4 linked regions of the Ovis aries genome follow. The protein of the gene in region 3 purifies or fractionates together with the protein of the main gene of each other region. This does not show direct contact. Links are inferred from orthologs where the notes say so. Each region holds a gene or a part of one and is shown on either strand. Other genes may lie near its edges.

The links.
Region 1: the proteins of SLX4 (region 3) and TOPBP1 purify together in Homo sapiens (affinity purification with mass spectrometry; 3 studies listed by BioGRID, with this or other methods). This does not show direct contact. The link is inferred for Ovis aries from reciprocal best matches to the Homo sapiens genes SLX4 and TOPBP1.
Region 2: the proteins of SLX4 (region 3) and SLX4IP purify together in Homo sapiens (affinity purification with mass spectrometry; 6 studies listed by BioGRID and IntAct, with this or other methods). This does not show direct contact. The link is inferred for Ovis aries from reciprocal best matches to the Homo sapiens genes SLX4 and SLX4IP.
Region 4: the proteins of SLX4 (region 3) and RTEL1 purify together in Homo sapiens (affinity purification with mass spectrometry; 3 studies listed by BioGRID, with this or other methods). This does not show direct contact. The link is inferred for Ovis aries from reciprocal best matches to the Homo sapiens genes SLX4 and RTEL1.

The regions. Positions count from the first base shown.
Region 1 is NC_056054.1:256,376,543-256,384,534, reverse strand, and holds the start of TOPBP1 (DNA topoisomerase 2-binding protein 1), read right to left. Parts: upstream 4,852-7,992; 5' UTR 4,709-4,851; intron 4,540-4,708; exon of another isoform or gene 4,143-4,539; intron 4,070-4,142; exon of another isoform or gene 4,065-4,069; 5' UTR 4,063-4,064; coding exon 3,979-4,062; intron 1,982-3,978; coding exon 1,847-1,981; intron 1,153-1,846; exon of another isoform or gene 989-1,152; intron 230-988; coding exon 86-229; intron 1-85. UniProt on the Homo sapiens protein: Scaffold protein that acts as a key protein-protein adapter in DNA replication and DNA repair. Composed of multiple BRCT domains, which specifically recognize and bind phosphorylated proteins, bringing proteins together into functional combinations.
Region 2 is NC_056066.1:3,746,055-3,753,557, forward strand, and holds part of SLX4IP (protein SLX4IP), read left to right. Parts: intron 1-2,575; coding exon 2,576-2,679; intron 2,680-3,764; coding exon 3,765-4,071; 3' UTR 4,072-7,503.
Region 3 is NC_056077.1:3,514,019-3,521,521, forward strand, and holds part of SLX4 (structure-specific endonuclease subunit SLX4), read right to left. Parts: coding exon 7,347-7,503; intron 7,235-7,346; coding exon 6,918-7,234; intron 6,440-6,917; coding exon 6,205-6,439; intron 5,830-6,204; coding exon 5,741-5,829; intron 4,909-5,740; coding exon 4,762-4,908; intron 3,797-4,761; coding exon 3,627-3,796; intron 2,817-3,626; coding exon 610-2,816; intron 226-609; exon of another isoform or gene 1-225. UniProt on the Homo sapiens protein: Regulatory subunit that interacts with and increases the activity of different structure-specific endonucleases.
Region 4 is NC_056066.1:53,773,261-53,781,277, forward strand, and holds the start of RTEL1 (regulator of telomere elongation helicase 1), read right to left. Parts: upstream 4,900-8,017; 5' UTR 4,771-4,899; intron 4,534-4,770; exon of another isoform or gene 4,454-4,533; intron 4,013-4,453; 5' UTR 3,854-4,012; coding exon 3,752-3,853; intron 2,872-3,751; coding exon 2,676-2,871; intron 2,441-2,675; coding exon 2,347-2,440; intron 1,912-2,346; coding exon 1,830-1,911; intron 1,632-1,829; coding exon 1,571-1,631; intron 786-1,570; coding exon 710-785; intron 270-709; coding exon 185-269; intron 1-184. Other genes in the region: STMN3 (stathmin-3), read left to right, coding at 7,540-7,558. UniProt on the Homo sapiens protein: A probable ATP-dependent DNA helicase implicated in telomere-length regulation, DNA repair and the maintenance of genomic stability. Acts as an anti-recombinase to counteract toxic recombination and limit crossover during meiosis.

The sequences.
Region 1 (7,992 bases), on a different chromosome or scaffold from region 3:
GGTCTTTCAAAACATCCCCTACAGTGAAAAATTGTGTGCAAATATATATTGACCACAATATTCCACTTAACACAGCAACACCTACCCTTCTGTCTTTTTCCAGGCTTGTACAAGACACGGTTACATCAGACATAACCATGTTATAAACTGGATGTTCAGCTCTTGGGACACATCGCTGGTGGTGCATACAAAATATGACTACTTGAGGACCAACAATTCTGCAACCAAGCTACAAAAACAAGGAAAGTTTATTAAGTAGGAAAAGACTTACAGTTTTAGAAAATTATATTTTGTTTAACACTGCATTTACCAATTCTTTAGAGAAGTTGATCACTGCAGAAAACCCACCAAATTGTTAGAAAGCAAACACACATTATATGATTTCTCAGACATACCACACATTAACACACAAGCAAATCAAACAATGCAGGCTATCAAAAGAAATAAGCTCCAAAAGTTATACTCACTCAAAATTGCCATTAAAATTTTAATCTCTGAAACAAATACAATCTTAGCAATAGGGGATATGAGTAATAGCCTTATGCCATAATAATTACTTTTCAAATGAAGCACCCAGCCAATGAGGCAGTTAAGTGTAAGAACCCAAATACTTTCCCTCTAAAATACCTATTATGCTACAAAAAAGCATAATCCTAGGTAGTTTCTACATTCATTTTTAAACACTGTTCACAACTCAATGTTTTTCCAGGAAAGGCCCACAAAAACTTCTCCTAAGGTTATCACTTTCATTGATAACTGAACAATTTTGCTCAACATCAGCACATCCAGGCCAGACTAAAGCCTACAGTTACCAAAGTTACCAAAGCATAACTGATGTAAATGTCTCCAGGGTAAATGTTTATTTCTATCTTTTTGGTCAGTCATAAGAAAACTGAGTATTCAATGCTATTGATTCTATCTGACAAGCAGTGTTATTTCCAAAAGGAGGGTAAGACCAATAATGCTTTTGGAAAACATGGGCACAGACCTTCCATTATCTGTATAGTACTGCATCTAGCTACTCTTCTATGTTTTCTTCTCCTTCAAACAAGAGTCACTTCTTTGTAATTTGGATGAAATTATAGCCAGTTTACTTTTATTTCAATGCTTCTCTCTTGTCCAGACACCAAAAAAGTAATGAGTCAGTAGACTCTAGAATCAACAAAAAGAAATAAGATGGCTCAATGATATATTAGCAATGCTCATCCCCAAAATGCTTCCTTTTAGCATATAATTTTTCAAACCCTATACAAAGCACAGGTACTAAAATTCAAGAACACACAGTAAAGACAGTAAGTAAACAAATCTTTTCTTACTCTAAAATCAAACTGAGTTTAAGTACATTAGAACTTCATCAATAAAATACTTCATTACTATAGGGTTAAATTATACTAAGTGAGGTTAAATTCCCTAAAATACAAAACTCACATATCAAGCAAAGTCTGTTCTGTGCTGCACTTAGTCATTTAGTTGCGTCTGACTCTTTGTGACCCCATGGACTGTAGCCCGCCAGGCTCCTCTGTCCATGGGGATTCTCCAGGCAAGAATACTGGAGTGGGTTGCCATGACCTCCTCCAGGGGATCTTCCCAACCCAGGGATCAAACCCAGATTTCCTGCACTGCATGTGGATTCTTTACTGTCTGAGCCACAGGGAAGCCCAATTAAAGCCTACGGGAATATAACTACACTTTAAAATTACTATTCTGGTCTTTCAAAACCAAAAGATTCCTCTCAATTCATAATTTACAAAATACATCATGACCAGTAAAGAACTTATGTCCACTGCACTGCCGCAAAAACAAACCAAAAACACTACCTGAAAGAACACACTAAAAGTTAGCAAACCTTTTGGAGATGATCAAAGGCATCACCACTAAAGGGGTCACAGATATACAGTGATCTATCATTTTCCTTTATTTTCAATGCCTCTTCTTCTGTAATAATCTGAAGATATTCTTCTGATTGGAATTCTTTTATTGACTGAAAGAAAAAATAAGAATGCATATGAAATTATTCACCTGTATTTATGTCCTATGAACTGTATCTTCAAAATCCATCTCAAATCCAGCCTTCTTCCCATCAAAAGGAACCATCATCTCTCACGTGGCCTGAGCAGGAGTCTCCAAAGGGGTTCCTTCTCATCCTTTGCCCTAAATCTATTCTCCACACAGCAGCTACTAATCTTTTCAACAATACAAATCAGGTCATATCACTCTGCTGAAAACCTCCAGCAGCTTCCCACCACACTCAAAATAAAATCTTCATTTCTTACAATCACCTATAAGACCACAGAGTCTGGCCATTGCCTGTCTCTGTCTCCCCATGCTTACTTCTTCCTCTAATCCCTTTTGCTCACTCTTCTCTAGCCACTCCTGCTTTCTTTCCAGACCTGGAACAAGCTAAGTATGACCTCATTTAGAGGTTTTGCACCCCCCCCCCCCCCCACTGCTACCTGGAACACTCTTCCCCCAGGACTTCACCTGACTTGTTTCACTTCAACCACATCTGCTCACATGTCACTTCCTCAGAGATGCTTTTCCTGATCACACTTTTCTAAAATATTCTTTCCCTATTTTATGAAGAAAACAACATAGATATAGTATTATGTATACTAGCATATATAGCATACATAATATTATATATACATATATACACAGTTTTTGTCTCTCTCCCTTGTAAGAAGAATGTTTTGTGATCTATCTTGTTTGGCAACATATCCTGGCTCCCAATAAGCACTCAAATATTTTCTTAACAAATTCTGAAGTCCTTTCATTAAATACTTAGGGTGATCCTTTTAAAACGATTAAGTCAGATCATATACTCTTCTGATTAAACTCCCCCAGTGGCTCTCCATCTCACCGTAAGAAAAAGCCAAAGTCCTTAAAAGAGACCACAAGGCCCTCATGACCTCTTTATTCTTATTCTCTGAACCAAACCTTAGCATTCATCCCACATCTCCTGTTCACACTACACTACAGCCACAATAAAGCAGGACAGACACTGCAAGCACCTTCCCAGGGCCTGTGTATGATTATTTCCTCTGCCTGAAACTGAAACCTTCCCCACATATTAACATGGCTCATTATCTCACCTCCTTCAAGTATTTACAAATATCAACTTCTCCACAGAGAATATCACACTATATTTAAAATAAATTGTAAACTTCCCTTCTTCCTTAACAAACATCTTCTGGAATGTTTTAACTTGTTTTGCATTTCTCCTCCCACAGCACTTTGCAGCTTTAACATACTATATATTACACACTGATATATCTGACTAGTTTATTTCCTATAGCTATAATAGAATGTAAACTCTGAGAAAGTATGGATCTTTGCCTGCTCTCATTATCTAAATGTATCCCACGTATTTGAACAGTGCTTATCAGATGATGAACACAATTATTTGCTGAATGAACTTAAAAGAAAAACCTGCTACAAGTGTTTCTTTCTTTTCTTTTTTTTTTTACAAGTGTTTCTTAAACATACATAAGATCTTGTTAAAAAGTAGATTCCAATCAGTGAGTCTGAGCTGGGGTCCAATTTCTCAGGCCACGGTGATGCTACTGGGGGAGACACTACCCCTACATCCTCCCACATGAAACTATATAATGAAACATACTTTTAACAATTAACAACAACAAAAACAAAAAATGAAGTGTAACCAATATAGGACTGCCTCAAGTTTTTTCAACACACAAAGGTCTATGGTTAGTAGACAAAAGAAAACTACTTAATTTCTAAGACTACCAGGCCCATCACTTTCAATATAAATGTCAGTAAAGATTTCAATCCCCCCAAAATACATGATATACTAATATCAATTCAAGAGTGTGTTAATAATGAGGTATCTATGAATGTAGACTAGAGTAAAACTATTATGAAAATAAAATAACCATGACTAAGACATAAAAGGCCTAAGTCAAAAACACTAGAAACAAGAAAATGAATTCACAGCAAGACATTGTCAAGTAGTCTTACCTCAAGAGCTTTAAAAAAACATTCAGAATTGTCTGAAGACTTTAAAAACTTCACAAAAAACGGTTCTTTGTCATTTTTGGACATTTCTGAACTGTCAAAATAAAGGAACCATTAACAAGAGTAAAAACACATTACGTACAAAGTTAAATGTTTAAAGCACCTACTTTTCTGTGCAAATAAGAATGTCGAAGGACAAACATTCTGGTCTTGCCCATGAATTCGTCCATTATGGTTTGTAAGAAACAGTGGAATGTGGACAAAATCAAGGGAAAAGATGACAACAACCAGTCTTCGTAAATCAAAATACGAAATTAATGTTGCTAAACTGAATTCATCGAGGACTTTTGCTCTGGAGCTCTAAGTCTCCTAAGTCGATGGTCATTCAATTTCATTTAGCTTGAGAATGCTCAGAACGATTAGGTCCCTGAGGTCATCTGCGGCCCTCAAGATAGGTTAAGCCCTCAGTAAACGAACTTTACATATAAACATGAAAGCCAGCCATTAAAGTTAGGGCCCTAAAAGGCTAGATGCTCTCGCTTCGCAGCTGCCAGGGGAAAGTCCGATTATCGGTCCTGCCCCAGTCACGTGCTCTCCGCTGTCCCATCCACCGGTCCGGGGACCGGTTACAAGGTCCGGAATCCAGGGCCCCTAAGGCCAGAGGCGGCGTCGAGGACCCCTCCCCCTTGCGAGGTGGGGAGGGAGCGGGGTGCTCACTCTGAGCTTCACTCACCTCGGTGGAGGCAGGGGATCTCCGGGCCGCGAGTAGGGGGCCGCGCGGCACGCGGGACTGCGGCTGGGGTCGGGCGCCAGCCCGGCGCACACCCGCCGCACCCAGCGGCGCCCCCAACCAAAGCAAACGCAGACCCGGAAGTTGCCGAACCGCGAACCGACTTTCGCGCCAACCGCGCGGTCTTGCCCGTCCCTTCCGGCGGAAGTGACGCTACGACAACTGCAGCGGGGGAGGGCGGAGACAAAAGAAAGCGGCGGTGCTGGTTGGTTCCCACCCGGAGGCTTAGGTGTTCCCGGAAGGCTGTGGCAGAAGCTTCGGCTCAGGAGCTGGAAGGGCGGGTCTTACCTTTGCTGGGAATTGGCGAAGCGCTGAGGGCTAGGGCTTTGGGGCGGCGGGTCGGAGGTATTTTAGAGCAGGAGTTCGCAACTCCAGGGCCAGGGAAGGTTAGTGGTGGAAGCAGAGCCGCTCCCCATTTCTCGCGTTGCCTTCTGAACGGCCGAGCTCCCCTTGCCCTGGGAAAAATTGTCTTTTACTAAACCGGTCCCTAGTGACAAAAAATGTTGGGGACTGATGCCTCAGAGCAGACCCTAACATATCAAAAAATAAAGACAGGTAAAAGAGGGTTTCTTTAATAGTTTATGCTGAGACACCATATGTTACCTAAAACAACTCTGGGAGGCGAATACTGATTTGTATTTACAAATGTAAAAACAGGCTTAGGAAAATTAAATGAAGTGTTCGAGGTCACAGTAAGTGGTAGAAGTTTAAGACTGCACCCAAGTCTTTTTGACTCCATGGACTGGTGGACTGGATTATTTTCCTCCAGTATAGCCCAAATGTGCTCACCAGCTACAACAGCCAAGGGTCTAAAGAAAAGAAAGACGTCAGGATGACGTGAATGACATGCCTGGTGCGTAGGAGGTCTTTGCCAACTTCAGTAGTGCCCTCCAGGACTAACACCCTATTCTCCCACCTCGCTACTCCCACCTCGCTACCCCCAACCCGTGAGCATCTCATTTTTTTCTCTGTAGCTTCCCAAGTGTTGGGCAGATTGTGGGATGGAACCTAATGTTCAAATGGCAAAGGTGTGGGGAGAGGAGGTGAAATAGGATTGTAGGACCTCTGGCTTGTTGATGGCCAATGAAAAACTGCTTGGTCAGCGTTTCTCCTCATTTTATTCTTGACTGTTGGGAGTGAGAAAATCATGATTTGAGTAACCTGAGAGTTTAATGATCTGTACCTTGGTTTTTTAAAATGTCTAAAGATGGAAGATATGATGGTCATCTGAGTTAAATTCACCCATTCCAGTCCATTTTAGTTCACTGATTCCTAAAATGTCGATGTTCACCCTTGCCATCTCTTGTTTGACCACTTCCAATTTGCCTTGATTCATGGACCTGACATTCCAGGTTCCTATGCAATATTGCTCTTTACAGCATCAGATCTTGCTTCTATCACCAGTCACATCCACAGCTGGGTATTGTTTTTGCTTTGGCTCCATCCCTTCATTCTTTCTCAAGTTATTTCTCCACTGATTTCCAGTAGCATATTGGGCACCTAATGACCTGGGGAGTTCCTCTTTCAGTATCCTATCATTTTGCCTTTTCATACTGTTCATGGGGTTCTCAAGGCAAGAATACTGAAGTGTCTTGCCATTCCCTTCTCCAGTGGACCACTCTCTGTCAGACCTCTCCACCGTGACCCGCCCGTCTTGAGTTGCCCCGTAGGCATGGCTTGGTTTCATTGACTTAGACAAGGCTGTGGTCCTAGTGTGATTAGATTGACTAGTTTTCTGCGAGTATGGTTTCAGTGTGTCTGCCCTCTGATGCCCTCTTGCCACACCTACCATCTTACTTGGGTTTCTCTTACCTTGGGTGTGGGTAATCTCTTCATGGCTGCTCCAGCAAAGCACAGCCGCTGCTCCTTACCTTGGAGGAGGGGTATCTCCTTACCACCGCCATTCCTGACCTTCAACTACTGTGGGCAGGAATCACTCAGAAGAAATGGAATAGCCATCATGGTCAACAAAAGAGTCCAAATGCAGTACTTGGATGCAATCTCAAAAACGACAGAATGATCTCTATTGGTCTTCAAGGCAAACCATTCAATATCACAGTAATCCAAGTCTATGCCCAACCAGTAATGCTGAAGAAGCTGAAGTTGAACGGTTTTATGAACACCTACAAGATCTTTTAGAACTAACATCCAAAAAAGATATCCTTTTCATTATAGGGGACTGGAATGCAAAAGTAGGAAGTCAAGAAACACCTGGAGTAACAGGCAAATTTGGCCTTGGAATGTGGAATGAAGCAGGGCAAAGACTAATAGAGTTTTGCCAAGAAAATGCACTGGTCATAGCAAACACCCTCTTCCAACAACACAAGAGAAGACTCTACACATGGACATCACCAGATGGTCAACACCGAAATCAGATTGATTATCTTTCTTTGCAGCCAAAGATGGAGAAGCTCTATACAGTCAACAAAAATAAGACCAGGAGCTGACTGTGGCTCAGAACATGAACTCCTTATTGCCAAATTCAGACTTAAATTGAAGAAAGTAGGAAAACCGCTAGACCATTCAGGTATGTCCTAAATCAAATCCCTTATGATTATACAGTGGAAGTGAGAAATAGATTTAAGGGCCTAGATCTGATAGATAGAGTGCCTGATGAACTATGGAATGAGGTTCGTGACATTGTACAGGAGACAGGGATCAAGACCATCCCCATGGAAAAGAAATGCAAAAAAGCAAAATGGCTGTCTGGGGAGGCTTTACAAATAGCTGTGAAACGAAGAGAGGCTAAAAGCAAAGGAGAAAAGGAAAGATATAAGCATCTAAATGCAGAGTTCCAAAGAATAGCAAGAAGAGATAAGAAAGCTTTCTTCAGCGATCAATGCAAAGAAATAGAGGAAAACAACAGAATGGGAAAGACTAAAGATCTCTTCAAGAAAATTAGAGATACCAAGGGAACATTTCATGCAAGGATGGGCTCGATAAAGGACAGAAATAGTCTGGACCTAACAGAAGCAGAAGATATTAAGAAGAGGTGGCAAGAATACATGGAAGAACTGTACAAAAAAGATCTTCACGACCCAGATAATCATGATGATGTGATCACTAATCTAGAGCAGACATCTTGGAAAGTGAAGTCAAATGGGCCTTAGAAAGCATCGCTACGAACAAAGCTAGTGGAGTTGATGGAATTCCAGTTAAGCTGTTTCAAATCCTGAAAGATGATGCTGTGAAAGTGCTGCACTCAATATGCCAGCAAATTTGGAAAA
Region 2 (7,503 bases), on a different chromosome or scaffold from region 3:
TGGGGAATTTACATCATTCCTAATAGGAAAAGGCTTTCTGGTTCCCACAGAGTTGTTCAAAGCCTGACTCATGCTCCTTATGTTAATTGTGCAGCTCTGAAACTACAGCACTTTACAGGGTGTGGTTGTAAGGGGGAAATCTACTGTACTTACAAGGCATGTTTAGAAGCGTTTCACACATAAATCTCAATCTCTCTCTCTCCCTCTCTTCCTCTCTTTCTCTGTCATTTAACTTTTAAACTAACACTTTTGGGTCAACAAACCTAGACAGTATATTAAAAAGCAAAGACATTACTCTGCCCATAAATGTCTGTATAGTCAAAGCTATGATTTTTTTGATATTCTTGTATGGATGTGAGGGTTGGACCATAAAGAAGGCTGAGTGCCAAAGAACTGATGCCTTTGAATTGTGCTGGAGAAGACTCTTGAGAGTCCCTTGGACAGCAAGGAGATCAAACCAGTCAGTCCTAAAGGAAATCAATCCTGAATATTCACTGGAAGGATTGATGCTGAAGCTGAAGCTCCAATACTGTGGTCACCTGATACAAAGAACTGACTCCTTGAGAAGATCCTGATGCTGGGAAAGATTGAAGGCAGGAGGAGAAGGGGATGACAGAGGATGAGAAGGTTGGATGGCATCACTGACTCAATGGACATGAGTTTGAGCAAACTTCAGGAGATAGTGAAGGACAAGGAAGCCTGGCATACTGCAGTCCTTGGGGTTTGCAAAGAATGGAACACGACTTAGCGACTGAACAACAGGAAGTCTTAAGGGAAAGAAAAGGGACTAGCATTAAAATGCAGTGAAAGTGAAAGTCTCTCAGTTGTAAGTCTGACTCTTTGCGACCCCATGGACTATACAGTCTGTGGAATTCTCCAGGCCAGAATACTGGAGTGGGTAGCCTTTCCCTTCTCCGAGGGATCTTTCCAACCCAGGGATCGAACCTAGGTGTCCCACATTGCAGTTGGATTCTTTACCAGCTGAGCCATACGGGAAGCCCCAAAATGCAGTATAATCCAATAAAACCAATTGTATTCTGTTTACTAACTCTTAAAACTGACTTGGGTTATAACTAGACCCTGAGTGACATTGGTCCAGGTCTAAAACGCCGGTGAGTTCATGAGAGCAAAAGGTTGGTGCTCAGTGGTGCAGGGCAGTGATTGGACGAAGCTCATGGCATCACTCTGTGGGACATGCAGATATGATTCCAGTGGCTGCAGCCTACCAGGCTCTCTGGGGTGTCAATCTTACTTCCAGTGTAGGTCTGCTGGTACCTTACCAATACCACTCCTTGTGGCAGCAACATTTTACTATAAAATTTGATGGAGAAGGGTACTGAGAAATGTACTAGCAATTGATAGAATTTAACACCTTGTCTGAATTATCTATGTGCTAACCAAAAGGAAACAACTTTCCAAAAGAAAGAAATTGGTCAATATTGATGAGGGTTGGGAGATTTTAACTTTTTATAGCTACTTCTTTATGAAGCTTCCATGTGTATGGATAGATAGATAACCTCAGAACTATCTAAAACCATGTTAGTGCTGTTATTTTAAGGGGAAAAAAACTCGGGAGTGTTTTAGTAACCAGGAATCTCAAAATCTGGTTTTCAAAATACCAGTATTGGTAGGCTGAACTCTTGACATTTTTTGCAAAGGCCATACTCTGTTTTTATAGATAGAGAAGATGTGAGAATTCTAAAGTTCATCGGAGTACAGACCCCTGTGGCCCCAGGTCTCTCTGGAAGGCCAGTCCCACGGCCACATGGTCGCCTGACTGGGGCATCCTCACATCCCAGGCCTCAGAGCTCTCGGTTCTGGCCGAGAGTTCCCGGATGGCTTGGAGTCACCATCTTGCCTGTTTGTGGCACACATTCACGAATGAAACGTGTACTTGGAATCCAAGTGAAGTGGTGGTGTTCAGTTGACAATTTGGGTCCGCCTCTGTGACCCCATGCACTGCAGCATGACAGGTGTCCCTGTCCTTCACCATCTCTCGAAGCTTGCTGAAACTCACACCCACTGCGTCGGTGATGCCATCCAAACACCTCATCCTCTGCCATTCCCTTCTCCTTCTGCCTTCCATCTTTCCCAGCATCAGGGTCTTTTCTAATGAGTTGGCTCTTCACATCAGGTGGCCAAAGCATTGGAGCTTCAGCTTCAGAATCCATCCTTCTATTGAATATTCAGTATTGATTTCCTTTCAGACTAGCTGGTTTGATCTCCTTATAGTCCAAGAGACTCATAAGAGCCTTCTCCAGCACCACAGTTTGAAAGCATCACTTCTTCAGTGCTAAGCCTTCTTTATAATCCAACTCTCAGATCCGTACATGACTGCTGGAATAACCATAGCTTTGACTATATGGACCTTTTTCGGCAAAGTGATGTCGTTTTTAATACACTGTCTAGGTTTGCCATAGAACATTCTAGACTGAAAAAAATTAAAATAACCTAACACTATGTAGTTTCATCCTGTCCTCACCAAACTAAATCCGTTCACTGGGGTATTTGGAGTGGAAATGTTTTCCACCTGTGCAGTTAACAGATTACTGGTTGACTTTGTTGTCTTTTGCAGCAGCCGGGACGAGCTCTCCACGGAGCAACAGGGGATCGTACTGGGTGTGTGGAACAACTACTTCCTCCCGGGGCAGAGCCCAAGAGAAATGTTCTGCAAGAAATGTAGGTCCCGTGGGTTTCCTCTTCTTCTCTCCAAACTGTCTATATAGATGGGGACACAACATGAGGGCTAGAATTCAGCAAGAGTGCCTAGACCCTAATCACAGAAGCCCTCAGACACTGATCCTGTCCAAAGTCACAGAGTTGGGACTTTTTCTACTTTCCAGACTTTTTCTCTTGCTTTCTGGACAGGGGGAAACAAGGCCTGGCTTCACAGGTATGTTGCAAGGAGTAATTAGTGGCAAGCACTTTGAAGATGAAAAGCACCTGTTGATGGTGTTTCGTGCACCTTTCCAAGCAGCCCCGGACAGATTGGGAACCATGCGCTGCCTTCCTCAGGGGCCTCTTCTGACCCTCGTGTCATTATAATAATCTTTGAGAGAACGATAGCTGTAGTAAGAATATGAATACATGTATTGGTTTCCAGATGAAAGCTGAACCTAAAGAAATATTTCATTCTCAATATTTTGAGTTCAGTGGTTCAAGAAACTTCTTTCCATTCACAAGTCTACAAATATATGCCAAAATCTCTGGTCTGTACAATCTCCCTGGCCAGCTTCTATCCTGCACCTCCAAGTGAATGTCACACAGTACAATCTGCTTTATCTGTTGTATGTGTGTTATAGAAAAGGGAACGTTTAAAAAGTTTCTGTGTGTTATAGAAGAGTTTGTATGTGCGTAAAAGAACATGCTTGTATGTACACAAACACACACAGAGGCTTTGCTTTGTGTATTTGCTTCTGGGGAAAAAATCAATATATCAAATATAGGTAATATTGATATTTAACATCTGAAATGAATGCCTCTCTGCCTTAGTTAAAATATGAACTCCATTAAAATGCCATTGTTAACCAATGATCAATAAGTAAAGTGTGTCCCAGTGTGTAGGAAACTGTGACAGCTCTTGGTTGATCCAGTCTGCATATCAACAGACACTTGGGATTTTTTGTGAGATTGGCCAGTGGGGTGAGGAGAAGGGAGGTTAACACATGCCTCCTGCTTCAAGTGTAAGAAATATGACATGGGGACTCCGAGGGAAACCTGGCCATCACAGGTTTACAAATCAAAAAATTCTTTCTTTGTTTTAGTGTGAACAGAACTGAGACAAAAAGCAGCGCCGTGAGCGGATCTCGGAGCAACGGGCCCAGTGTGGGAGCATCCAGTGACTCCGTGGCTGCAGAGGGAGCGTGGAGGAGGGGGGGCCGGCCAGCCTCATCCAGCCCCCCGGCCGTGGGACAGGCAGAGGATGACAGGAAGGCGTCTGAGACCCACCAGGGGCTTCCTGCTCTGAAGCTGGAGAAAGGTCATCAGGCCTGGCCAGGAGCAGCAGAAACCTCATCCCAGGGTGCGGTTGCAGACCGGGCTTCTAAGCAGGAGCCTTGTCTGTGGCTGTGAGTCAGCATTCCCCAGTCCAAAGCAGAGTCCACGAGGGGCCGGAGCACCGCAGAAACTCAGGAAGCGCAGCCCTGCGGGAGACGCCGACCACCACAAGAGAGTTTCTCTTGGAAGTGATCGATTAGCCCCGAGGGAAATAATAGTGGGAAAAGGAAAGCTGCCAGGGTCCTGCCAACTGGAGAGCTGTCAGATCCGGGGTTGCTTTTGAAACAAGATTTGGCAGAAACTGCATCTAATGAAGAGTTGCATGTTTTGGAAAACTCTCTCCTCCAGACATCTTACGAAAAATAAGCCAGGGCAGGCACAACTCAGCCACAAACACTGAAAGCTTAGCTCTGACTCAGGGCAGCCCAACCAAGAAAAGAAAAGGGTGGAAGCAGCTACTTGCTCACAGAAGAGGATTGCAACCTCATCGTGGAGGATGTCGTGACCAGACCTGGGACAAATGAGCAGTGTGCCTAGAAGCCATGACTTACAGGAATTCAAATGATCATTTTCAGTAGAAGTTACGTACCTGTGTTGGACTTAACTTTCAAACCAGCAGCCTCCAGGAGCTTGTTCTGACAGCACTGTTCCTTTCTGGTTCACACTTTAACTTCAGAAACTTACTTTGGTGATAAAGAACCATTGGCTTTGTTGGCAGCGACAGCATCCATAAAGGAAGCGCAGGAAGAAACCAGTGGTGTGCCTCGCTGCATCCCTGGATGAAGCCCACAGTGACCGTGGTGCTCTCTTTGCCGGCCAATCCTCCTGCCCTGCAGCCTGAGTCAGGCAGCAGTGGAGCAGCAGGCTTGCGGGTCACCCCATCTGCTTGCGGGTCACCCCACTGCTTGCGGCCCCAGCGTCATATCTGAAAGTGTGTGAGAAAGGCAGAGCCTGGGCCCCACCCAGACCTACAGAATGAGAAACTGGGTGATTCTGAAACATGCTCAAGTTTGGCAACCCCCGGGCTAATTGCAGACCCCCTTGGATTGATTCCTGCGGCCTGACTGTCCTGGCCCCTCGCACATCAGCAGGGCCCACATGTGGACATGCAGCCGTCATGCCCCCTCGGACTTATGAAGCACCTGGCTCAGGGTGTGAAGCACTGGTCCCATTTAAGCATGGTGGCCACAGCGCCCTGGGAGCTGTGACTGCACTAAGAGTTGCAGGATATTTACATATAGTTTGGCCTGACATTAGGGGGAGACATCAGAGAGGCTTGTTCTTTCTTGTAGTTCAGGCATGTCCCTACCCCTTGCCCCTGCCCCCACCTTCAAGACTCTGGTGAAGTTCAGAACAGATCCAAGCCCGAGGGGAATTCAGTGGGCAGAATTTGCAGTTCCCCACTTGGAAGGCAGCACGGGCAGCTTAGATTTCAAACCAGGAGCCTTCCATTTGCAGGATCACCCACTGTTGTCTCCAGTGGGCTTGCTGAAATGTCATGTAGTGAATCATAGCAATGACTTATTTTGGATGGACAACTACAGTAGGTTTTCTTAACCAAGTTTTATTCTGAAATAATGAAGGAAACTATATTCAAAGGCCACCCATCAAATGTGTCTTTTTTTCCTGCTCAACATTGGGTGGTCCTTTGAAGTAATACCTCCTCCCTAGTAACACGGAAAATCAAGATATTCCCCAAAGTGTAGGAGTTAGAAAAAAAAAAAAAGACCAACAAAATAAAAGAATATGGAAATGGATACAGTGTAAGTTCATGCTTAAGATTAATTAGTGGTTTCTTTCTCCCAGCTCATTCTGTCCGTCCCCAACTCTCCTTTCCTTAGATTGTAGGGCAGGACTCCTGAAGAGGCAGCCGAATATCATGGCACCATTTTGAGTCATGAAGCTAAGTCTTCCTTGCCATGCCTGGCTGCGGATGCAGGCCCCTTTCTTTGATGCTCCAGACTCTTCTGGAGACTTCTTCCCTTCCTGGGACCCCAGCCTCAACATCCCCACCAGGAAGGCGGCCCTGCCTACTGACGTCTCTTCCTCTTCCCTCCTAGCTATTAATCCTGCCCCAGGTGACTCCGTTCACTGGGCTCCACAGTAGAAGAGGTAGCCCAGCAGAATACCAACCACAGTGCAGCTGAGTCCACTCCTCCAGGAAGTGCAGACTGCACAGGGCAGAACCCTCCTGCGGAGGTGATAGAACATGGTCCGTCCTGAGCCCCGTCTCAGAGTCACCCATTTCCTGGGTGCTTGTCACTGAAGATGGGCTCACAGTGTGTCGTTGAGTCTTAAACAGAAACAGTTGTTGCAGTAGTTTAGGCAGAGAGGGCACAAAATAACAACCCAGGCAATAGGCCAAGAAACTGAGCTCCCTGGAAGAGTCTAGAATCAGGAAGAGCCATCCCAATACCTGCTGCCTGCCCCAGAACTAGGGGAAGCTGTTTGAACTGGAGGCACCAGAGAAAGTTTTTATCAGGTTTTTTATTTCATTAGTTAACCTGGGCCTGGTGGTTAAAGCCAGTACTTGTATGTTTAATGATTATCGTTCAAGAAAATTCTTGGCTTTAGAGTTTGGTGTATTTGTGGATACGATGATGACTGAGTTTGGGACTTCCCATCTCCCAGTGCAGGGCACACGGGTTCAGTCCCTGGTCGGGGAACTGAGATCCCACATGCCGAGGGGCAGCTAGAGAAGGCCGTGTGCCGCAGCTAGAGAAAAGCCAGTGCAATGCAGTGAAAAGCCAGTGCGGCTGAAATTTAAAAACAGAAAAGTTGTTTAAAGGCTGTGTCATTGCACTTTTGGCTGTAGATCAGTAGGGTCTTTCTCACAGCCTTCATGTCCATGGGTTTTAACAGTATTAGCAAAAGGACCAACTTTCCGCTTCTGCACAGGGGCATGTGCTTGAGGAATTTCGCCTTTAAGCATTTTCCTTCCACATGTCTGAAACACCCCTGGTTCTCTTGTTTCTTGAGTGGTTGTTTGATTCTTTGGATATTTGGAAGTTCAGAGGGGAAAATGGCTGCCAGGTTTTTTTGTTGCTTATTAGGTGGGAAATGAAGACTTGGTTCCCTACTGCTGGAAGTGGGTGTGTTTTGATATTCTTGATAATCTTAGTAATTCATCTTCAAATCTGAGACTCTGTCAGTATTCTTGGTTAAAAAGAATAAGTTCTTCAGCCACTCACTAAATAACCCAAATTAAATGTATATTCAAGTTCCTGTAACTCTGATGCTTGGAAGAAATATGGACCCTATTGATTAATGTTGTAACTTTGAACTCCCTAACTTTCTCAACGTCATGGCTTCTAATTCATCTCCATGTGCTTCCAAATGACTTTCTAATAGATTGGGTTTTTTTTTTTTTTAAATATTCATAAATGTCTGAGAACAGTCAGTGTGACTTTTCTTCCACATTTTTCTTTTCTTTGCTTCTGGAGGTTACGTGTCATCCAGCCATGCATGTAAATTGTGAAATGCAAAGGAGCAAACTTTAGGGCAGAG
Region 3 (7,503 bases):
TCATACGGCGTGGCCTTTTGAGTCTGGCTTCTCTCCCCGAGCACCATGTTTTGAAGGTTCGTCCATGTTGTAGCCTGTGTCAGAGCTTTGTATGGCTGAGAAGACTCTACTGTCGGGATGGACCCCCTTTATTCACTTATCAGCTGATGGACATTTGCGTTGATCCTACTTTTTGGCTGTTGTGAATAGTGCTGCTGTGAACATGAGTGTGCAGGATGTGTTTGAGTCCCGATCTCAAGTCTTTGAATGCTGGAGTGCAATGACCTGGTGATAATGGCAATTGTTTGACTATTTGAGGAGCCACACGTGTCTGCTCTTAAGATGAACCTGAGAGGCTCATCACAGTCTCCCTGAAGTGCTGGTGAGGTATTCTGGAGCGGGGCCGCAGACAGGGGTCCTCAATAGGTGCCCAGGTGAGTGCAGAATCCAGGCAGCTTTAGGACGCCCCCGTACTTACTAGCTTAAGAAGTGTATGTTTGACCGCAGGCCTTTCCTCCCTAACCGTGGAGAAGGTCAGGCAGGCAAGGGGAGGGCTGGCCGCCCCTCGCTGTCATTATGACTTCATGCCCCTCAGCATGAAACAGAGACAAACACCCTCCCACTACTCACCTGGCGTCTGTAACTTGTATGACCTCTGGGCTCCATCTGTGCGCGGCGTCTGGGGCAGAGGAGCTGCCTCTGAGGACCTCTGATCTTCTTCGTTCCAGTCATCCCACAGAGCTGAGTTCAGAAAGCTCTGCTGGTGGCTCCCAGGGGAGCCAGCCCCAGAGGACTTCTCTTGAGACTTCCTCCGGCCAGTGTAGCTCCCTCGGATTGGGGTGGTGCCCAGCAGTGCCGGGGAGTGGCAGTCTCTGCTGTCTGGGGCACCCTCTGCCCTGTTGCTGGGGCTGCTGGTGCTCAAGGGCCCTGTCCGCTCGAGGTTCAGGTGATCAATGGGGATCGGTGAGAGGGGCTCCATGTGCCAGCACCAGTCCTCGGCTGGAAGCGGGGGGTCACCGTCCAGCAGGGGGCTGCTGCTTGCCTGTTGGGAGGCTGCCTCCTGCTCGTCCTCACTGTCCTCCACCTCCACCACTTCACTCACGGGAGCCTGAGCCGCCGGGCTCCGCACAGGAGGCAGGCACTTCGGGAGCTGCCTGGGGAGGTCGGCGAGGCCTCCTAAGATGGGCCGGGGAGCCAGAGGAGAAGCACGTGGGAGGAGTCTGCGGCGGGGGCTGGATGGGCTGCTGCAGGCCTGCCTTCTCCCGTCAGAGCCTCCAGGAGGGGCGGGTCCCAGGTGTGGGGACGACATCTGGGGTATGATGACCGAAAACTTACTCGTGGCTTCGGGTTCGTCCCTGTTCTCTAACAGGGCCCTGGGCTTGGGCAGAGCCAGCGGGTCTGCTGGCGGCCTGGCCCCGAGGCCTGTGATCTGGGTCTGCGAGGAACAGTCGCAGCTCCCGCCGGCCAGCGGGGTAGCGGGCACGAGCCACGAGGTGTCCGTGGTGCTGTCGTCGGTGCTGGCCCCTAGCCGCCCCTCCACCTCCTGCGGCAGCAGGGCCTGGCTTCCTGGTGGGCTTTGGGGAGGCTCCTGCTCCGCGTCAAGGTCAATGATGGAAAACAGTTCAGAGGACTTGGCGCTGACTTCCAGAACTTTCTTGTCTTCTAAGGGACTGTTCAGAAATGACTTTGCTTTGGTTTGCTCCAGCTCCAGCTCTTCATCTGAATCCAGTAACAGGATCACCTCGTCTTCTCTGTTCATGCTGCGGGGAGAGGTCTCAGGCCTGGAGCTCCGGCGGCCAGGTCCTGACCGGGTTAGATCCATGGGTGGAGATTTTTCTGGGAAGATCAGGACCCCTTTACCTCTGCATCCCAGTGCGGAACTACACTCCTTGTCTTTCTGGCCTGGATCCTCACGTGACGAGGGAAGGCGCCTGGCTTTCTTTGGCTTCAGTGATAAGTTCTGGGAGGCCATGCTGGAAGCTGTGGCCTGCAACTGGAGTATTGGTGGGGACAGGTCATTGGGGCAACGAGTGTGAGGACGTGGCTGGCGAGGACTCTGGCCTTGATGGGGCTGCGGTGGGAAGCATGAGCGTGAGGGGGGTGCCTGCTGGTGTGCAGGGGGATGGAACCCCTCTACCTCCCTTTCTTGGATGGTCCTGTTTCCTTCTTCCCAATCGCTCGTCACCCGGGAGAGTTCAGAGTATCCAGCTTGAGGTGATGAAAAAGGCTGTTGAACGTTATCATCATCAGCTGAGCACAGAGGGGCGCTTTCCTGCCTCTCTGGCTGGCCCTGGGCGGGGCTGGAGGAGCAGGGAGGAGCCAGTGCTCCCTCTGGGGCCTCTGCTCTCTCTGCCCCGTTCAAAGCCTGGTCGCTGGGGGGCAGGAGTGTGGACTGTCTCGTGTTTCCCCATTTGGCTGGGGTCTCATCTCTTCCTTGCCCGGATGATTCCACCTGCTCTGCATTTTCTGGCTGTTCTTTATCCTGTTCACTTGTGAGGATTTCCCCCGAAACTGGACCATCCTCCCCGAGCAGGTCAGCTTCTTCCTCTGGCTCTGGAGCTTTCTCCCCCTGGAGCAGCTTTCGCTGAGTAGCTGCGAATTCATAAATTTCTTCCATCTCCTCCTCGTTGACCTTTTCTCTGTCTTCTTCGCGGCCCTCCGGCTTCAGCAGGGCCTCTGCTCCCTCCTCCTCACCCAGCCACACAAGGTGCAGGAGCTCTCGGAAAGTCTCCACTCTGCCGTCAGCGTCGTCTTCCTGCTCCTTTGCCTGTCCACCTTCTGCATCCATCACAAAGGGCACTTGTTCGCACAGGTAAACAAGCTCACTCACCCCAAACCTGCAAGAGGAAAGTCACGTGTCACCACCCCCTGCGCAGAGGCAGCGCCCTGGCTCGGGAGGCTCGGGGCAGGAGTCCCCACAGCCGTGACTCCCTGGCCCTTCCCCAATCCCCTGCAGAGACAGTGCCCATGTCCACGCCCAGCAATGCCCCAGGCCACTCAGCTCTAGAAACAGCGTCTGGGGAGGGTCCACTAGCCTCACTGTGCAGCCTGAGCGTGAGCTGAGGTGGGAGCGCGGGGCTGGGTGGTTCTGTGACCGGACCCAAAGCACCGGGACTGACACACACGGGGTCGCCCAGGCCGGTTTGGGTCAGCCCGGACACGTGCGCCGGCCTGCCTGGAGCTCTGCCATCTCATCGGCACCTTGGAGACCCCGGAGGCCAAGCCCGCCCCTCCCCAGGTTCCACCCCAGAGGTGGGAGCAGGACACAGGGGTGGAGAGACCAGGCAGCTGCAGCGTCAGGGGCGTCAGAGCAAGCATCCTGCCGACGTCCACCTTCTCAGACTTGGAGGGGCGGCCATTGGGCAGCTCTGGTGGCGGAACTGCCGAGGGGTGGTGTTGCTGGGGCTGGGGCCTGAGACCACCCCTTCGTCACTCCCAGCGAGTGAAAGCCACTGGGCTCCCCTCCAAGCATTCCCTGTGGCCAGAATCTTGGTCAGTACACCCTGTTCAAGGTCACCACTGGCCATAAACTTGGGATTAAAAGGTACAGGAAGGACTCAGCCCTGACCTCTCATGGGCCATCAACCAGATAATCCCTGTCGGTTACTGTCAAAAACCGAGAAGTAAGTGGAAAGAACAGCCCGGACCTCTGGGCCAGAGAGCGCAGGTCAGGGGCCAGCTGGGGAGTCAGGATGGTGTCGGCAGCATAGAGGTAATGCAGGAATGCCTGGGCGGCCTCGGTGCTGACGTCACGCAGCAGCACGCGCTGGCGCCTCAAGTCACCATCCTCTTCGGCCAGGAAGGCTTCACTGTTTACCTGAGGGACAGATGCACATGGAAGAGTTACTGACGGGACAGCCGTGACCTGGGGCAAAACAGGACTCAGGAGGTTCTGGTGCCTTGGATCTCGTCCTAGGACGGGCATTAGCCAGAGTCGCTCCATTTAGCTGACCAGGAATTCTTCAGGTTAGGGCACAAAACCTGTCTGTTTCCAAAGTCAAGTCAGCGATAGAGGCTTAAGGAGCCAGTCAGTCCTCTGTTGACAAGCCTATCAAAGGCACTAGAACTTTCTGACGAGACTGACAGCAGTTTCCGGGATTCTTGTGATGCCACGTTCAAGTCCATGACACGTTCAAGTCAAGATATGACAACACAGAAATGTCATAGCAGCTCAGCCTTAATGAGGTCAGTTAGGGACTTCACACTCTCACTGCCAAGGGTGAGGGTTCAATCCCTGGTTGGGGAATTTAAGATTCTTCAAGCCACACAGCATGGCAGAAAAAAACAGAAGGTGATTATAAGACTTTGCTACTGCTAAGTCACTTCAGTTGTGTCCGACTCTGTGTGACCCCACAGACGGCAGCCCACCAGGCTCCCCCATCCCTGGGATTCTCCAGGCAAGAACACTGGAGTGGGTTGCCATTTCCTTCTCCATAAGACTTTACTGATATGTAAATAGAGGAAAAGGAAACAGTTCTAGGGAAAACAGGATTTTTATTCAACGGAACAAGAAATCTGATGTTTCCCAGCCCTGAGCTCATCTCCTCATAGCACTTCTTGACCTCAAACCTGTCTTCTCCAGGGAAGTACAACCTTTATGGCATCAGGGGAAGAACAGGTCAGGGGCAGTGGGCGGAGAGTGGGGGTGTGGGGAGGAAAGGGGCAGGAAGAGAGGGAGAGGCTGGGCACAGAGGGGAGGGTGAGGGGGAGGAGGGGTGAGTGGGAGGGGAGGGAGGAGGGACAAGAGCAAAGGGGGAATAGGCCGCCTGGCCACGCACTCACATGCTGCATGAGAAGTGGGCATCGGGCATAGAGCACAAACTTGTGGGCATAGAGCACCTCCCCACTGTCTGTCTGAAACTGGACGTCACTCAGGTGAGGGTTGTTGACCATGGCACTGAAGTCGGCCACCAGCAGACCAAGGGCGAGCTGCAACGAGAGGGGGAGAGCGGCCACTCCCACCTGTGGGCCCCCGAACCATGCAGGTGCCCAACTCAAGGGGAGGAGGCAGCCAGTGAGGGCCTCCTGCCTCACCAGGTCCAATGTCGGGCTCCACCCTGAGGTTACCTTCAGGCCCTCAGAGACAGGGAACAGCAAGACCCAGTCCTTTTTCAAGTTCTCTGTCACACCCAATTCCCTGGCCTAGACAGGAGGCCTGGCCCGTGAAGACGGAGGCCCGGCGCGTGGAGAGGCGTGGGTGACAGCCTCGCCAGGACGCGGTGGCAGGGTCAGCAGCTGCTAGGTCTCCGTGAGGAAGCCATCAGCCCAGCCGGATGTGACAGGTGGGACCTGAGCCCAAGCAGTTGTGGGGCTGGCTAGGAGTCCATGTCCCTTCTCTGACAGGTGCCACATCCCCAGGGAGAACTTGGTGACAAGCGCTCGGCTGATACCAATGTGCTCACGGGATGACACCTTCTCTAAGGAAAAACCAGTTTCTAACCCAGAAAGTCACCAGTACAGAACACGAACTGTTAGCTGGAGGCCTCCAGGATTCTCACGAGTTAGTTGGTCAGTCCCGTTGGCTGGATGAAGCACCCTCACAGAGCAAGGGTGCTCCCTGGGCCTGGCCCTGGGAGCCTACTGAGGTGCCCCTGGGGTTCAACAACGGAAGGGACAGAACCTGGCTCAGCTCAGAGGCCGTCAAGGGGTGCCCGTGGACTCTGCAGGGGCCTGGAGGCTGGCTGTGAGCCAGCCGCACTGAACATACAACAAGCATTGCAGCCACGACCACGGAGCCGCGAGCAGGACCAGACGTGCTCACCGAAGCCTGGCCGCCCTCCTCCGGGTACTTCTCCTTGGCTGGCAGGACAAACCCAGTCAGTGGAAGGCCACCGAGCGACAAGTCCATCCCTAAAAGGATTTGCAGGTTAAAATCATCAACCACCTGGGAAAGAGCATCACCTGGCCGACCCGAGGATGTCGTCATGGAAGGCGAACTGTCCAGAGGCCACCTGCACCGCCACCCCTGCCCAACAGAGTTGTACTCTGGAGAGAAAGCCGAAATCAACCCTCACGACCACTCGCTCTGGCAGAAGGCTTTGTCCTCAGTCAAAGCTGAAGGAAAACTGACGGACTCGCCTGAGTCACATTCACCTTTGAGGAGACAGGAAAGCACCCAGAGAGACCACCTCCTCCCGTCAGACAGGGTGAACTGGGACTGTGGACCCAAGTGGCCATCGCGGCCCTGGTACCGGGGAGGGGAGGCCCTGAGGGTCGGGGTCTCACCTGCAGCCCCCCCTGAGCTGGCCAGGTCCCTGCTGCATGGGCTGGCAGGCAACCCCTCTCCCGCCAGCTCCAGCAGATCCTGCAGGGCTTGGCGCTCCCTCTGGCTGGCGGAGGGTGCTGGGCTCCGGAGGCTGTGGCTCACGGGGTGGGTGCCAGGGGCAGAAGCGGGTGCTCCCACACTCAGTTCTGGCAGCTTGGGTGGCTGTGGCAGCCGCATGGGCTCCTGTGTGAGACCCTGAAAGAAGTAGGTGAACCAGAGTGAGCATGTGGCCTCCACAGCCACCACCACCTTGAGAGTCCCTGGGAAGCGAGCCCCAGCCAGAGCCACTTGGGAAGCTTGTCCCTGTTACCCGTCAGTAGGCACCTCTGTCTTGGCAGCGCCCCCGCCCTCCTAGTGGCATCTAAATTGCTTCAAGCAGGTGAGTGCCAATTCCTGTACACAGGCCTGTCTTGTTCCTGGGTCCCATCACAGGCAGATTATACCAGTCCGGGGCAGGACCTGGGACCCTGCATTCTGAACTCTCCAGAATCTTAACGCTTAGAAACCTGTGGGCCTCCCTGTTCCTACTGTGCGAACCATCTGGTTGTTGCAAAGACAACACACTAGAGTCCACACCATGGCACCCGGCTTCCTCCCCTCTGCATTTGGTGCCGCAGCTGGAGCCGCCACCCTCTCCCCTTGAGCCCACCTGCCCCACCGGAAGGGAGCACACCTTGGCAGGCCATTGGGGCACCAGAGGAGGCACCAGGCTGGCCGTGTAGAAGGACTCCAGGGCCCTAGCCCCGGTGAGGGCACTGGCCTCCCACAGCAGGTTCTGTGCCCCCCTGGGGGGTCGCAGGACCCGGCTGCCCCTGGCCAGCTCTTCCTCTAGAATCCTGCTGGTGGGGAGTGGCGGCGTGCTGGACGGCTCCACCTCCTCCGACAGGAGCTGGGCCAGGCGGTCCTGTATCTGCCGGCCCGTGGTCTCCGCATCCTGGACTAACAGTTGTGGGGGGGACGTGGGGGCTTTCTTCTTGTGGGTCTTCTTCTCTGGAGAAAAAACAGAAGCAGCACGGAGTCGTCCTCCCACCGGGGACCCCAGGGGAAGCTTTGGCAGCTGCCGCGCAGCCAGGCTTTTCAGCACCCCACTCAGCTGCCGCACCTGCTCCTAGCCTTGTCCTCTCTGCAAAAGCGTTCCCCAGCCTGAGCGCGGCCGGCACCGCCTGCTGCTCCGTCTCTGAGCGGGACAGAGCCATGGCTACCAACAGGTCCTCGGAGGGCGCCTCGGGCTCAGGGACCTTCCGCCTCTTCCGTGGCTC
Region 4 (8,017 bases), on a different chromosome or scaffold from region 3:
CCCTCACTCCCGCCACCCCCCAAGCTGTGCTGATGAGGGAGGCTGGTCCCCTGGTGCCAGCCTACAGCTCCCAGCAAGGGTCTAATACTGGAACCAGGACCAGTAAGGACTCCTTCACTGGCACCTCTGAGCCTGGGACCTTCTTGCCATCAGGCACTGTCAGCTGCACAGGCTGAGGCCTCACCTTGGCATCCAACAGGTAGTTGTAGGGCATGAAGATTATGTCTGCCTGCTGCTTCAGGTTCCGAGACAGGTAGTAGGGGCACAGCCTGGAGGGGAGGAGGTGCTGGGGCACTGAACGGGCAGCGAGGCTTGCCACCCCTCATACATCCGTCCTCAACCGTGTGAGTGGACCACTCACTTGTGTAAAATCTACAAAAGCCCCAGGCCCACTCCTGGGCAGGTGGATGAGGTGGGAGGAAAGGGGATAGCCAGGCCTCTGCCCCCACAACCAGAGCCCTGAATCCATGAAGTTGCAGCAGATGTCGGGGGTGGGGGCACACCAAGTGGAAGATAAGCTCAATGCCTGGGGAGTAGAGGGGGGCTGGGGGCCAGGAAGAAGGATCTCACTTCTTACTTCACAGTTCTCACAACTGCCATGTACTTTCATACCGAACAACGTTAGTTTCATGATTTCAAAAGGAAAGAAATGGGTGTGCCTCCGCACGTGGAGGGAGCCCAGCCTGCGGCAGCCGAGAGGGGAGCTTACTTGTGCTTGGTCCCGCTCCTAACCAAGTCCTCGATGTCCAGGATGGGAGTGGCCAGCTCCTGCTCCAGGCTCTTCTCTGGGGACACGGTGGGAGTGAACACAGGCTCTCAGGTCCACTGAGTCCCCCTGGACCACAGGGGTCACCCGAGATGGAATGACTCCAGGCAGCCCCTGGGGAGGGCACCAAGCTTCAAGCAAGTCCTGAGGGAGCCCTGCTCTGTGCTTCAGAAGGCAGCCACAGGCCGAGGCTGAGCACCAATGGGAGACCCAGGGGAGGAGGCTGAGGGCAGTGGGGGTTCTGCAGCCCAGGGACCAGCAGGCACCAGCTCCGAAGGTACCTCCTCTGTAGGCCAAAAGCTCCCCCCAGCTCCCCACCCCACCCTGGCCTCCTGGCCCCTCCCTCCTCAAGGTCCCTCCAGGTGAGGTGAGGGACGCTGCAGGTGAGGGAAGCTGCAGGTGAGGGACGCTGCAGGTGAGGGCTGGTCCAGCAGAGGGAGCAAGCTGACCCACAAGCTGCTGTGGAAGGTGGCTGAGACCCCAAGAGAAATGCTCTCGAGACCCAGTACCTAAACTGTCCTGGGGGCTGCCCACACTGGCATGCCTACCTGACAGGCACCTCAATTCCAGACTCCTAGAAGGGACAGTTTAGGCCCAGGGGACCTCCCCTACTGGGCATGGCAGGGACCCTCCCGAAAACCCCAGTCCCTCAGCCCGTGTGAGCGCCTTCGCCAATGTCATGAAACAGAGCCCAGGCGCCCCCACGTATAGAAGGCCGCCAAGCCCGACCCTCGGAGGCACCCACAGTCCACGCCCTGCAGCATGCTCACTGAGGGGCGGAGGGGCCGCCATGAGCCCCCTCACCTTCCACGTTGTTGTAGAAGTGACAAGAACGACCTGCTACCTTCCTGCGGCACAAGTGGACCTGGGGGGACACGAGGCCTGGGCTAGTGTGACAACTGCACCCTGCCCTCCCCTTGCCACCAGTCAGGCACCCCACCAGTTCTTCACCCTGCTCCCCTACCCCATCTCCCAGGGGCACAGCTGAGGCCCTAAAGCCTGGGCAGCTCTCACAAAGCAGCAGCAACAGAACCCCAGCAGACAGGCAGGGACGGGAACGCACCTGCATGTGGTTACTCTCCTGCTTCTTCACCTCAGGGTGGATACACAGCTGCTCCCGGGAGCCCAGCACACACACGCGGGGCCTGGCAGAAGACAGAGCGGGGGCCCCAGTGCCATCCAGCGACAAGAGCCATGAGTTATACTGGGAAGCTTGGCTCACCCACCCAGACAACCAGAGAGGGCAGGCAGGGCGGAAATCTGGCCCGGGACTGAGAGGGGCTTTCCCTGCAGCTTAGCCCAGCCTGAGTCAGGGTCCAGGGCGAGTGAGGAGGCAAGGCTGAGAAATGACGGCAGGCCTCTGGAAGGCCCCTCCACCTCCACGCTCCTCTCATGGGAGACTGGAAAAAGGGGACACAGCCCTCTTGCAGAAGCACTGGGAGCTCCGACATAGGGCAGAGCCCCACCTCTGCTGCCCCACCCACACCTACAGCTGACATCTCATCCACAAGGAGCTCAGGGTTCTAGCCCAGTAAGGGTGTCCCAGGGTGGAGTCCTGGCAGACCACCCCCCCGACCCACCGGTAGGAAGTGTTTCGGAGCTCGCTGATGACCTGCGTGAGCTGTGAGTGAGTTCTGGAAGCATAGATGATCTTCGGGATGTCCGTGTAGCAGGCTGCCCAGCACAAGGAAGGACAAGTCACGGCTACAGGCACTCAGCTAAGTCCACCCACAGACAGCTAAGCATCAGGTGCCTGAACCCGTGACCAAGAAGCAGAGCAGTGGGTCTCTGCAGAGTCCTCATTTGTTTGTAAGGCTATGACCCTAGGTTTACAGCTAGGACAATGAGAAATGGCGTGGCAGCTACACAACCCCCCAGGAGGCCAGGAGTGGGGCAGAGGGAGCATCACCTGGGACATCTCCTTCCGGGATGGCATTCCCCCAGGACGCCAAGGTGCGGTCGGGGAAGAGCTCCCCTGACGCCCTCTCAGCGATCCTGCGGGCAGAGACCGCGTCTCGGAGGTGCTCTCGCCAGGCCAGTGTGCTGCAGAGAAGGCACAGTGTCTTCCCTGTGCCTGTGGGGCTCTCCAGAATGCCGTTCACTTTCTGAATGGGGTGGAACAAGGGTCAGGGAGGAGCAGGAGGCAGGCACCGCAGGCCACACAGCCCACCTGAGACTAGCCCAGCAGCCAGCAGAGGGCATAAAATTCCACAGGACCTTTCCACTCCCAAACCAAAAGCTGGAGGTTAGGTCAGTACACGTTAGCAAACAATTTGCAGAGCATTACCCAAAACACCACAGTATCTTCTAACATGCTATAAATAGGAAGATGACTAATTAGGTATCAAGCCTCAAAATAGGAGTTCCATTCTACAATTCTGGATCCAAGCATTTACACAATCTTGATGAGATCTGATGGCCTACATAGCTCTCAGCTGGGAGCCTGAGTGGGGAGCCTGGGCATACACAACGTGCCCAGCTGCAGATGCAGCCCTTGGGTGCTGGGGGCTTGGGCAGAGACAAGAGGGCATGCCCAGAAACCCAGCAAGACACTAGCTGCACCCCATGAGGTTTCATGATCTCCCCAGATGAGGGCTGGGTACCAGCTGCCCCTCTGTGTGGAAATACGTCCTCCAGATCCTCAGATGGCTGGCTGCTTCTCATCGCTGGGCCTCAGCTCACACACCACCTTCTCAGTGAGGTTCCCCCAGGTGCTCTTAAGCCTACCACCTTATGCCTTTCTTTATAGCACTCATCACCATCTAGAATTACCTTTTTTTGATTTATTTGTTCAGCATCTCTCCGACCCCACCTAAAACATGAGCCCTATTTATGGCTAAGGCCCACATCCATAAGGGCAGCATTACCAGTAGGACCTGGCCGGAGTTAACAGGAAGGTGTATGTACTGATACCTTAGGTCTTTGCAGAGGCTCTACCAACGCTGACCCATCCCCAGGTACAAGCCCCTCAGTCTGCAGCCTCACCTTCTGCAGACACTCCAAAACTTTGCTCATGTACTCCTCTTGGCATTTGTACGGCTGGAAAGGGAAGTCCACTGTCACACCTTTCAGGGTTATCTTGGGCATACTGGTCTACTCTTGGGGTCACACAGAGGTTGGCTGAAGTGCAGGCTGTGTGAGTCTGCGAGACAAAACCTCCTCTGAACATCTCAGAGTCTCAGCGGCTTCAGGCAAGTGATGCCAGCCTGCACTGCGGGGACATGGAGCCTCTCTCCACGCGAGATCCTACAGCAGAGACGGAAATGACAAGCCTGTGTCTAGTGAGCTTTTCCCGAGTGCCAGGCCACTTCATCAGTTCCCGCAGGCAGTGCCTCCCGCGGACAGGTCCGAAGGTGAGCCTGTGACATCCCATCACAAGGGGCTCACAGAGGTGTCCTCCCTGCCCTGTTCTCCCGCCCCACACAGCTCCACCGAGCTCCTGGAGAGGCAACAGAAGAGACGGAGGTGCAGTTCCACGTGCTCCAACCGCAACAACACTGCACTGACCTCCGCCACAGCAGAGGAGCCAGTTCCCAGCAGCGCCACCTCCGCACCAACCCACCCCCCCCTCCACCCCCAGCCTGGGCGGCTCGGAACCTCCCACCCCTGAGGCTCCCACCCTCGGTTCTCTGGGCCATCTCCATCCCTCCCAGGCGGGCAGCGAAAGAACACGTGTGCTGCTCTGACCTGGGATGCGAATCCGTGCGGCGCCCCGCAAACCAACCCGCCTCCCGAGGCCTGGTTTCGCCTAGACACTGGAACTAACTGCCCGCGCTCCAAAACCCCGCCCGTCCGCCCTTCCCGCTGGCCCGGCCCACTCCGCGAGCGGAGAGCTGGGCACTACGCGCCCCACAATGCAGCGCGGCAGAATCGCCAGCGTGCGACCTGAGGGTGGCGCGGGGCCTGCCGGGAGTTGCAGTGACGGAAGGCGCTGCTGGAGTACAGGTTCCAGTGCCCGGGTCTCTGAGGGGAGCCGTACACGAGCGGGGTCCCCAGGACTTCACCTCAGTCCGGCCCACACATCACCATCGTGTCCGCAGCCGGCAGCCAGTCTGAGTATGAGGGCTTAGGCGCGCCGTCTTTCCGGAACTCTCTGCACTTCCGCCGCCATTCCCAGTCCCTTGCTCAATGCTCCGGCCGGAAACTGCTCCCCTGAGGGTGCGCGCGCTAGTCGCGCGCTGCGGTCCAGGTCCCACCAGCCCCTTCCGTTGACCCTGAGCCCAGGGCCCGCCCCTTCTCCCCCAGGGGCACGAACCTAGGATCCCGACCGGCTCCCTCCTCAAAGTCATCCCCACCCGGGCCTCCGTTCCACTTCCCGCCTGGCCTGGACCAAGTCCTCTCAGACAACTGCCCAGACAACTGTACAAACGTTCTGACAGGTTTCCTGTGGTTTCCACCTTTTCTTGAAACGCCCAGAGGTCTTTTAAAGACTTGACTGAGCTGATCACTCTCAGATTTCGCAAATGGCTGCCCCTTGCCCGTGACTTGGCTCCTGAGAGCCTCATCTGTTCCTCTGCTTACTGTCCTCTGGGTCCAGCCGCTTTTTCGGTCAATGTCTCCAACTAGTCAGGGCAGGCCCTCTGAATCCCCAGCTCCCAGCACCAGCTGGCAGTCAACAAGGAAGTTTCAGGGGTCTCCGTGGTTAGAAATGTTTGTCTAGGTGACCCCAGTATGCCCCAGAAAGCGCCAGGAAGAAACTGACGGTGCGGTGGCAGCCGCAGTCCTCTGGCCAGGCTGATTTTAGAGGGTCCCGTGGGCCGATTAATGTCCAGAGGTATTCCTGCTGGTAGCACGTTAATGCCACGTATGTGTTTAGGCTCTTGGTCTGAAGTCATGCTTGGGAAGCCCTTGGCACACGCTGGTATCCACCCATGCCCACCTGTTCCAGTAAGGGAATGGCAGAGTGTCTATCTCAGCAGGGAGTTTGGAGAAGAGGAGAAGTTTGGAGAAGATGTGTTGGCACACACTTGCTGGATGTTTACCTGGCACACTTTGCAGTGCCATCTATGCAGGCATTAACATGTTTGTCCATCCAGCAAACCATCCCTGAGATAAGTGCATCTATGACCCACTCCTTACAGGTGAGGAAAAGAAGCACACTGTTGGCAGCGGTTAGTAGATTTCCCAAAGTGAAAGTGTTAGTCGCCCAGTCTTGTCCAACTCTTTGTGACCCCATGGACTGTAGCCTGCCAGGTTCCTCTGTCCAGGCTAGAATACTGGAGTGGGTAGCCATTCCCTTCTCCAGGAGATCTTCCCAACTCAGGAATCAAACCCAGGTCTCCTGCATTGCTGGCAGATTCTTTACTGTCTAAGCCACCAGGTGAAAAGATAGCAGCAAGTCTGAGAGCCGGGAGTCCTACCCTTACCCTCCACACCCCACACTCTGAGAGTAGTGGCATTTTCTCCCACAGAAGTCCAAGGAAGGGAAGCCCAGGACCCAGAGATTCAGCAAACCCTGGGCCAGAACTAGAGCTGAGGACCCTGGTCACACATTGTGCATCAGGACCTCCTGCCCAAGCCTCCTAAAATTATAACATGTAAGTGCTGTGGTCCTATACCCTGAGAGATGAGCAGAAAGGGACATGGAGGCCACATAGCAAGCCCCAGAAGGCCGGCACAGAGATCTCAATCAAGTCAGTGAACTTGCACTTGCACTGAGTGTCTGCTCTGGTAGGCTTTGTGGGACTCCCATGGTAGACCAGCCCCAGTGTGGACCCATTATGCTCATTGAGTGTGCACATTAAGGTTCTTGGCTCTCCTCATCTCTGCATGTTCCAGGTTTCCCCAGAGTTCTAATTCTGGCTCCAGAACTCCGTTTCTTGTGGAGTCAGCCCTTCTCTTGGCCTAGTGGCTCTGTCCCTAAAATGGGAACATCACTCCATCTGCCTGATTTCCCATCCCCAAAGAGGTGATGCTTACTCTGGGAAAGGCCCTCCCTTTGAGGGTATCAATCAGAACTCTGAGTCTAGGGAGGAAGCAGGCAGGACACTCACCAAGTGTGCACACTTCTCCTACACCACTGGGGATTAACACCATTATCTCATCTCACACCTGAGAAATGGAGGCCCAGAGAGGTCAGAAACTTGCCCTCAATCACACAGCAAGTAGATGTCAGAGCGGGGATTGGATCCTGTCTCTGTCTTCCTCCAAAGCTTTGTTCTAGGCCTTTGCACACTGATTTACCCTCCTCTCTGCCTCGAGTTGCTCATCCGCTGGGAGGCCCCTGGAGGCCTTCCAGACCAGCCCCCACCTGCACCATCTATGATTTGCTTTCCTTCAGCACAAGCCTGGGCACAAAAAAGGCACCTCCCAGCCTTCACTGGCCTCAGAGAAGCTCTGCAACCCCACCCTGACGTTGAGGCCTGCCCCCTGCTCCTGCACAGCCCCTGGGAAATTGGGTGCTGTCTCCACCAGCCCCCTGAGAGTGTACAAAGCCAAGTTGGGGCAGCGGGTCCTAACAGTGAGCGGTGGGAGGATGGGCCTCTGGCTGCAGCGCAGGGCTCTGCATCCCAGGCAGATCTCAGCCCCTCCCATTGTCCGCTCCCCTCACCCCCTCCCTCCAACGGCTGCAGCCCAAGCCACAGCCAGGCGCTTTCTCTCTCTCTCTCTCTCCCTCTCTCTTTCTCTTTCTCTCTCCCTCCCTCTCCCCTGCGCTCCCGCCTCCCGCCCTCCCTAGCTCCCTCCCCTCCCCGACACTGCAGCATTCGCCGACTGCAGCTCCAGCCGCCGCCCGCGCCTCTCCCGCCTCCCGCAACCCCGCCGCCGCCAGCACCATGGCCAGCACCATCTCTGGTAGGCACCCGGGCCTCCGGTGTCCTGGGGCAGCGGGTCTGAGCACAGACTATTGTCTGGCCTCGCCTACTGCTGGGCGGGATGTGGAGTGTTTTCCCATCTCGGATCCTGCGCCCTGAAAGGGCGCGGGCAAGCTCCGGGTGGAACCCGCAGGAGACATGGTTGGGGGCTAGGGGATTGGGAGACCCGATGCCCATAGAGCAGGGATTGCGGTGCCAGCCTAGCAGGCTTGGGCCGCGGGGTAGGGACCACGCTCGGGGTGGGGGCGTCGGCCTGGGGGTGCCGTTGCCCCTTCGTGCGCCGCTGTGCCAGGCCGGGCGTGACTGCCGTGCCACAGGGTGGCTCCGAGAATCTGGGTGGGCGCGCTCGAGGGGTGCAGGCATGGTCCTGGGAGGCGTCCGGCCACCGCAGACCCTGGTGGAACTACGCCTTCACGGGGGTCGGAGGGAGGAGCACAGG